Linked DNA regions of Arabidopsis thaliana. The protein of the gene in region 1 interacts with the protein of each later gene in a pairwise test. Each region holds a gene or a part of one and is shown in the gene's direction. Other genes may lie near its edges.

Region 1 (4,550 bases):
GTATGGATGCTAAACCGGTGGCTTTCTCTGACATACTTTTGTGATACCAATCAGTTAACAAAAAGTTCCGGTCATAATCGTATGTAAACGGTTCGGGCTCTGTGGCCGGAGGAGAAACTTGAATCATTCCGATTAATCCAGACTCTCTCTGCATCCCATAGTGTGAATGATACATGTATGTACCAGGCTACAAACAAATTTCAAAACTTAACATAAAAACATAAAGAAAGATTGAAACTTTAATGTGAGTTTTATAACTCTTTACCCTATCAACGACAAATTGGTAAATGAAGACTTCTCCAGGAAGAATTGGACATTGAGTAACACCTTCTACTCCATCGAACCATGGAGTCCCAATCTGAAACATATATAAATCAATCTTTTTCAGTCATTCACCGAGTGCTTACGAGGATGTTTACGTACCTGTCGGATTCCATGCCAATGGACAGCGACATTTTCAGTCATGAAGCTATTCTTGAGCTCGACAACGATGGTGTCACCTTGTTGAGCTTTAATGGTGGGACCTGGAAACTTACCATTGATTGTGATTACTAGCTTCTCGAAACAATCCGGTGACTTGAACTCGTACTTCACTTCCCATTTGAATCTCCGGATCTTTCCCTGACAGAGGACGGAAGAAAAAAACAGGGCAATGAAACAGAGGACCATAAGATTGAAGACATGGACTGTGTCTGATGATCTCTTCGGTCTCATCATTTTTCCAATCGTGTCTCCAAGAATCAAAGAAGATAAGAAGCTGAGATTTCAATATATAGTTCGAGATTAATCAATTCATATATACATAACGATAGATCATTGCATGTCATGTGTTTACAGATAACTCATTTGTCTTTTGGAGAAAAACTGGAGAGAAAACGCGTTTCACTTTTCTACGATTTAGTGATAATTTCTAATAATAATACATCGACTTTTATTAGCAAAGTAAAATTGTAGTATATGATTCTGTGTACCTCATGTGTTTTGTAAGTCATAAAAGTCAAGTATGTTCGATGCTTCTACACTGCTTTTCCTTTTTCCGTAGTAAAACCACATTATATTTTGATGTTTGATTGTAAGATTTTTAAAGCCTAAACTATTGTTAAAACAAAATACTTAATCAAATCATTAAATGAATAATAGGTTTTACGGTTTGAACTAGCTAGTTAGTCACTCATTTCATTTTTTAAAAATCTCGAATTTAAATACCTACAATAGAAAATTGAATAATTTACATGTTCATACCCCTTATCCGAAAAAAATATGGGGTTAGGTCTGAAATTCTTTAGTTAATTAAAAAGACTTACTTATTGCAGTACATTCCACATAGACTTTTAATTTGGTCAAGTCTTAGCTCAGGGTCAATGGTAAGAATCGAGAAAAAATCTCTTGGACCAAGTCAGAGCTTAATTTTTTTTGGTCGTTATATTAAATATCTACGTAAAAATCAATGATGTAACATGTAACATGGGGAAAATAATATTATCAGTATGTAACAATATTATAACATGGTATTTATTACCATTACTCCACCATTTAAGTAACTCCTTTCGTTACACGAAGAAAAGTCATAAGACAAAAAATCAACATTGATCAATCGATCCGAGACAAGTTAATTGTAATTTTGGATTTAATTATTGTTTCATTTCTAGTGAATTAAAAAATAAAATATATGAAATCCAAAGTTTGGATTCTCCTCCAATTTTAGTATTTGATCTAATTATTTTTGATCTAATTATAAAAAAATCTTAATAAACCGCCTAAAATCATAATCATATCAAATGTTTTTTTTTAATAAAAAATAATCTAAATTTTTATGCCAAAAAGAAGAATTTAGCGTAATGGTATCTATTGGAAAGACGACCCAAATCCAAAGACCAAACCAGGTTACTTCCACAATGTTCACGGAGTCATCTCCAGCAATGGATCCGGATTTACCCGAATCCGAAACCCGACCCGAATTCAATCCCTCCTCCACTGATTCCACCGCCATGGCAGAGTCAACCGATGCAGGGGAACCGACGGCATTCGAATTAGCCTCATCCCAAGTCACATCCGTCGCCGATCTACCACCGGAACGATTCAATTCGCTCGACGAATTAACACACGATCTCGGCTCGCTCCACGAGCTTTCGACCCGTGGCTCATGGCAAGCGATCCTCGAGAAGATATCTCAAGCCAGAGCTCTCTTCCTCCTCACAAAGCCTCACGAGCATCTCACTTATCTCACTTACCAAGTTATGGCTCTCGCGAAGCTTCGTCGCTCCGATGAAGCTTCTCATGAGCTTAATTCCTTGCACGATTTCGACGGGACGCATTACAGGTACGAATCGTTCCCTGAGATTTACCCTAATCGGAGAGGATCTATGGTTCCTTTCTCTTTACGATGGCTCTACGCTTTGATCCCGACTAAGCTTGGTAATCGTCAGGAAGGGTTAGATCGTTTATATGTTTTGCTTGACTTTGTTCGAGATCGAATCAGAGAGAAAGAATCTCAGAGTTTAGAGAGTTCTGTGGAATTGTGGAAGAAAAGAGAGACATTTGTGATGAATTGCTTGCTAGGGTTTCATTTAGGTCACAAGGAATTTGGGGTGTCTTTGGATTTGATGAAGGAATTGATCAATCGTGATCCGTTAGACCCGGTTTTGATTTCGAAACTAGGGTCTGTTCAGATGCAGTTTGGTGATGTAGAAGGAGCTAAAACTACGTTTGATAGAGTTGAGAAGATGTTGAATGAAGGAAAGAGCAATGGTTTATTGAACGAGATACAGTTCAACAATCTTGTTGGTAGGAATAAGGCTTTGGTTTATGTTGTGGCAAAGGACTATGTTTCTGCTGTGAGAGAGTATGACAAATGCATTGAAAGGGATAACTCTGATATTATCGCTGTCAACAATAAGGCTCTTTGTTTGATGTACTTGAGAGATCTATCGGATGCGATTAAGGTGATGGAAAGTGCATTGGAGAGAGTGCCAACCGCGGCTTTGAACGAGAGCTTGGTGGTGAATTTGTGTAGTATGTATGAGTTGGCTTATGTTAATCATACTGATGTTAAGCGGACGTTAAACAATTGGATTGCACGTGTTGCTCCTGATGACTTTGATTCATCTTGTACCAGAGTTTGAGGTATTGTCTCTGTTCTTGTTTCATTCTTGAATTTTTCCCTTTTTTAGGTTTTGGCATGTCTAAGAACTGATTGGTGATGTTATGATGACTTCGATAAATTGTGAAGTCTTAAGAATATGAAACAATCTGGTTAGGTAGATAAGAGAGATGATATTCTCTAGCGCCCTAAACTTCTTGTTCTCTGTTTTGGTTTCATATAATTTCCATTGGAGGTATGCAAATTGATCATCTAGCATTCAAAATTGCAGGTTTTCATTCCAAACAAAGGTAATTAGTCAAAGAGTTTATGTCTTCAATGATGAAACAAATCTTGGTGGGTTTGGCCTCAGCTGGAGACTCTGTTGTTGCAATTACCGGCTTCAAATTCGTTGTAGTTTTCTGTTGTGTAAGCTAGCAAATGGTTTGTTGCCCCCAAACACTTGGTAACTTCCTGCATTCGTTTTCTCATATTCATCTTCTTATAACGTTTTTTTGCATTTGCCGTTAACCACTAATGAAGAATGTGTGTTCTTGCAACTCTTCCTATGCACAGAGATTTTGGGTAAATCAAATATTTAAAGCCATGTATTTTGAGTTGAATATTCCCGTTGAGAGGATCATATAAGGATCAATAATTTGGGATATTACCAGTTTTTGAGAGAAATTTTCCCTTTCAGCTTTCAGATTCCTTGTATATCTTTATGACAATATCAAAGGAATCAATTCTCGTAGAACATGAATCTACCAACGAATTCTTTCATATAACAACCCTTTTTTATTGGTTTGGAAAAAGCAAAGTAAAGATTCTTACTTTACCCTACAGAGCAAAATTTTCTCCGCGAAGCTAAATAATCCCCACAGTAACCCTCCAACACAAATCTACGCTTAACTTTTATCACAAGAAAACGCAAACCCCAAATCCACAATATATACACATACCTACTCACAGGATTAACAAACCGAACATAAACCAAAATCTGATATGGCGGTCCAAACATTTCCCAACGAAATCGTCTTCTTCGATCTAGAAACAAACGTACCAAACAAAGCAGGGCAACATTTTCACATACTAGAGTTTGGGGCGATCATCGTATGTCCAAAAAAACTCGAGGAGCTAGAGAGCTTCACAACGCTTATACAACCTAAAGACTTGTCGGTGGTCTCAATAAGGTCGTCTAGGTCAGATGGGATCACCAGGGCTAAGGTTACGAACGCACCAAGTTTTGAAGACGTGGCTGAGAAAATCCATGGTTTGTTGAACGGTAGGATTTGGGCAGGTCATAACATTAGAAGATTTGATTGCGTTAGGATCAAAGAAGCTTTCGCTGAGATCGGTAAAGCTGCGCCTGAACCCTCAGGGATCATTGATTCTTTGGGGTTATTAAGTGACAAGTTTGGCAAAAGAGCTGGTAACATGAAGGTACCATTATCCAAGATTCTTTGTAAGC
Region 2 (3,866 bases), on another chromosome or scaffold:
AATTTTTTATTTCCATTATGGTCCTTGTGTTGTTGTGTATTTAGCATTTTGTTTTTCTTGGGTCAATCAGCATCACCACGTTTAGGCCACGACATAAAATTGATCCGTTTATTTTTGAGGCTCGCTCGCATCTTCTTCCTCCTTTGGCGCAACCGCTTCTTCCTCTTCTATTCTCACAGATTTCTCTAAGCTCCCAACTTTGGAGCTAAAACTCAATCAACACTACTCACAATGCTACTCCATTTCTCTCCGGCGAAACCCCTCATTTCTCCACCCAATCTCCGCCGCAATTCACCCACATTCCTCATTTCCCCGCCGCGATCTCTTCGAATTCGAGCAATCGACGCCGCCCAAATCTTCGATTACGAAACCCAACTCAAATCCGAGTACCGCAAATCCTCTGCTCTCAAAATCGCCGTCTTGGGTTTCGGCAATTTCGGCCAATTCCTCTCCAAAACCCTAATTCGACACGGCCACGATCTAATCACTCACTCCCGCTCCGATTACTCCGACGCCGCAAACTCAATCGGAGCTCGTTTCTTCGATAACCCTCACGATCTCTGTGAACAACATCCCGACGTTGTCCTCCTCTGTACCTCAATCCTCTCCACAGAATCAGTCCTCAGATCATTCCCTTTCCAACGTCTCCGTCGTAGCACACTCTTCGTCGATGTTCTCTCCGTTAAGGAATTCCCAAAAGCCCTCTTCATTAAATACCTTCCTAAGGAGTTTGACATTCTCTGTACTCATCCAATGTTTGGACCTGAGAGTGGTAAGCATTCTTGGTCTGGCTTGCCCTTTGTCTACGATAAGGTGAGAATCGGAGACGCAGCTTCAAGACAAGAGAGGTGTGAGAAGTTTCTAAGAATTTTTGAGAATGAAGGTTGCAAGATGGTTGAAATGAGCTGTGAGAAGCATGATTATTACGCAGCTGGATCGCAATTCGTGACGCATACTATGGGAAGGGTTTTGGAGAAATATGGAGTTGAGTCTTCGCCGATTAACACCAAAGGTTATGAGACGTTGTTGGATTTGGTGGAGAACACATCGAGTGATAGCTTTGAGCTTTTCTACGGTTTGTTTATGTATAATCCGAATGCTCTTGAACAGTTGGAGAGATTGGATATGGCTTTTGAGTCTGTTAAGAAGGAGCTGTTTGGGAGATTACATCAGCAATACAGGAAGCAAATGTTTGGTGGGGAGGTTCAATCGCCCAAGAAAACTGAGCAGAAATTGCTCAATGATGGTGGTGTTGTTCCTATGAATGATATATCATCATCATCATCATCATCATCATCATCATCTTAAGATCACAAGTTTGATTGGATTATGCTAGATTCAAAAATAAAAAGTTGTGACTTTTTTGGAAAACGTCAAGAGTGGAAAATAAAAAAGGGATTTTGGTGTGTTCATATGTATGTTGGGGTCTCTTTTGGCTTGGTATCAATAAACTTGTCTTTTTTTCTCTAAATGTATCTGTGGAAATGCTTATCCCTCTGGTCGCCGGAAACAAATACGGACAAATTGTCTCCTTCTCCGGCCATATTTGTATTGGATCAACATTGTATTGCTCAAAAGTCATTACTGTTTTTCTCTGTCTCCAATGATCTCGGGTCACCCACCCGATTCGGATCAGGACAACATCGTTTCGTTATGGGCCGATTATATAATGGGCCGCTTGAATGTCTCGTCTTATTTAATTAAAAGAAAAAAACACATTTTAAATTTGAATGATTCACACGTGTGTTGTTGCCACCATAGTTGGTCGGAGCTTTTCCTCTTCCCAAAATTGTAACCCTAACCACGCACCGACGGCGAAAACTGATCGCGGGTTTTCGCATCTTTTACTTGCAAAGTCTTGGAAATGGAAGTGATGGACAAATGGGTAGCTGAATTTTTCCTCCGACGCCAACTAAATCCTAGGGTTTACGCTTTTCCACTGTTATCGGCTCTGAAACCAGTAGATTCCGACGACTGTGTAAAACTCAAGCTAACTGCTGTTTTGCGGGATATCTCCAATTCCATGATTCAAGGTACCGTAGACGAAGGAATGCTTGATCTCCTCGAAATTCTTGAGAAGCTTCTGTTACAGGAACATTCGGTTATCATGGGATCTCTCAAATCTGCGTATTGCTGGACTGCTGTGGAATGCACGCTTAGGTTTATGTGGCCAGTGAATGCTTCGGATGGCTTCTTCGGTGATGCCCTTGAGAGGATTTGGAGGAATCGGATTGGGACATTGAAGGAGAAAGAGAGCGACTTGGTGACTCGTGAGTTGTTGAAATGGGAGAGTGATCTAAACAAGGCGTTTGAGGAACCTGAGATTTACCAGAAGATTCGTGAGACTAACATCAGGTACAATGCCATCTCTCATCTTAATCAGCTTCTCAAAGAGCAGTGGGCACTACTTGGATGTTCTTCTCTTGAATCAGAAGCTCGAAAGAGGTTTCTTAAGCGTAAGGATTCACCATATGCTTCCCGGAGAGGAGGTAATAGAGAGAAAGCTAATGATGTTGAAGAAGTGGGTGGTGTGGAGAATCCTGATGGGGTTGGTAAGGTGAATGAACATGAACAGGAACACGAGCCAAGTCTTAATAAGGGGGAAATGTTGGTAGCTCGAGAGCTTAAGGATTTTTTGTTGGAGATTCAAAGACTCATCGACCCTATAACAAGGCAAGATCAAGAACCTAACAATGCAATGGAGCATTCAGTTGATGTCACTCCTCAGCCTGATGGGGCAAATAGGACTGATGCAGAAGATAGTGAGGGAACATCATCGTCTAGAAGAGTCAGGCCTCATCTACCAACCCCGGAACCTCTGAATGTATCACCGTTGAAGAAAGGAAGATTAGAAAGACCGCGTCCCAGAAGGCCAATGAAATTCTGGACTTCTGAAGAAGTGGCAGCTTTGAGGGAAGGAGTTAAAGAATATGGAAAATCATGGAAAGATATCAAGAATTCATACCCTGTTGTTTTCGCTGATAGGAGCGAGGTGGATTTGAAGGATAAGTGGAGGAATTTACTTGGTCGTCAGTAGTAGGAATCTTACCTTCTAACTTATGGGCATTTTGGTTTTGGGATCTTGTGTAGTTTTGCCGCTTGTGTTAGAAAGGGACTCACTTTTTGTACGGTGAAGGCTTTAATATGTTCTTGATTCAGGCTCTTGTAGTTAGTGTCAAGCTTTAGACGATATTTCTTGTTCAAAAATCTATTGACCAGTTGATTACAAAATGGAATGATTTTAAATATTTGGTCCTATAATCAAATCAAGCAAGCTCTGAAACCCATCTCTAACTCCTCCCGGTTCAAATTCTTGCCGATGAAAACAATCTTGTTGGTTCTTGTTTCATCTTTTCTCCATAACCGGTCAGGTGATCCTTCAAATATTTCATGAACTCCCTGTTCCAACCATTATAAACCACAAACGTCAGAGATAATTTACATCCCAAGGCTTCGATGCTTTAGAATTCATCCGAAATGATCAAAATAATGACAAAGGTTGGTCACCTGAAACACGAATCTCTCGTCCATGTCTTGTACGGAGAGGATACCTTTCATTCTGTAGATATCCTCACTACGTTGGTACAATAGCGCCCCAAGCCACATGTTAGCCTGATCCATTTTCAAAACTAAGGTTATAGATGATGCAAGTAATCAATCGCACATCTCAACAATCGTTTTAATTATAAGTAACACGTCAGGTGCTACAGTTTTATGCATCACATGTGACACAACTTGAGCCATATTGGGTTAATACCTTCTCGAGGTCTAAGTCTCCTTCGCAAACTATACTGACTGAACCAACACCAGGGTCATGGGTGTGATCATGAGAATGGTGATGCTCTGCAGTTTCAGAAGCAAACTAA

The links.
Region 2: the proteins of AT4G39820 (region 1) and TRFL5 interact in a two-hybrid assay, tested with the Arabidopsis thaliana proteins (one large-scale study listed by BioGRID).

Annotation. Positions count from the first base shown.
Region 1 is NC_003075.7:18,475,270-18,479,819, reverse strand, and holds AT4G39820 (Tetratricopeptide repeat (TPR)-like superfamily protein), read left to right. Parts: upstream 1-1,759; 5' UTR 1,760-1,838; coding exon 1,839-3,122; 3' UTR 3,123-3,123; intron 3,124-3,371; 3' UTR 3,372-3,862; downstream 3,863-4,550. Other genes in the region: AT4G39830 (Cupredoxin superfamily protein), read right to left, coding at 1-187, 266-358, 424-717; AT4G39810 (Polynucleotidyl transferase, ribonuclease H-like superfamily protein), read left to right, coding at 4,085-4,522.
Region 2 is NC_003070.9:5,404,274-5,408,139, forward strand, and holds TRFL5 (TRF-like 5), read left to right. Parts: upstream 1-1,751; 5' UTR 1,752-1,864; coding exon 1,865-3,037; 3' UTR 3,038-3,213; downstream 3,214-3,866. Other genes in the region: AT1G15710 (prephenate dehydrogenase family protein), read left to right, coding at 232-1,308; AT1G15730 (Cobalamin biosynthesis CobW-like protein), read right to left, coding at 3,262-3,399, 3,508-3,612, 3,758-3,843.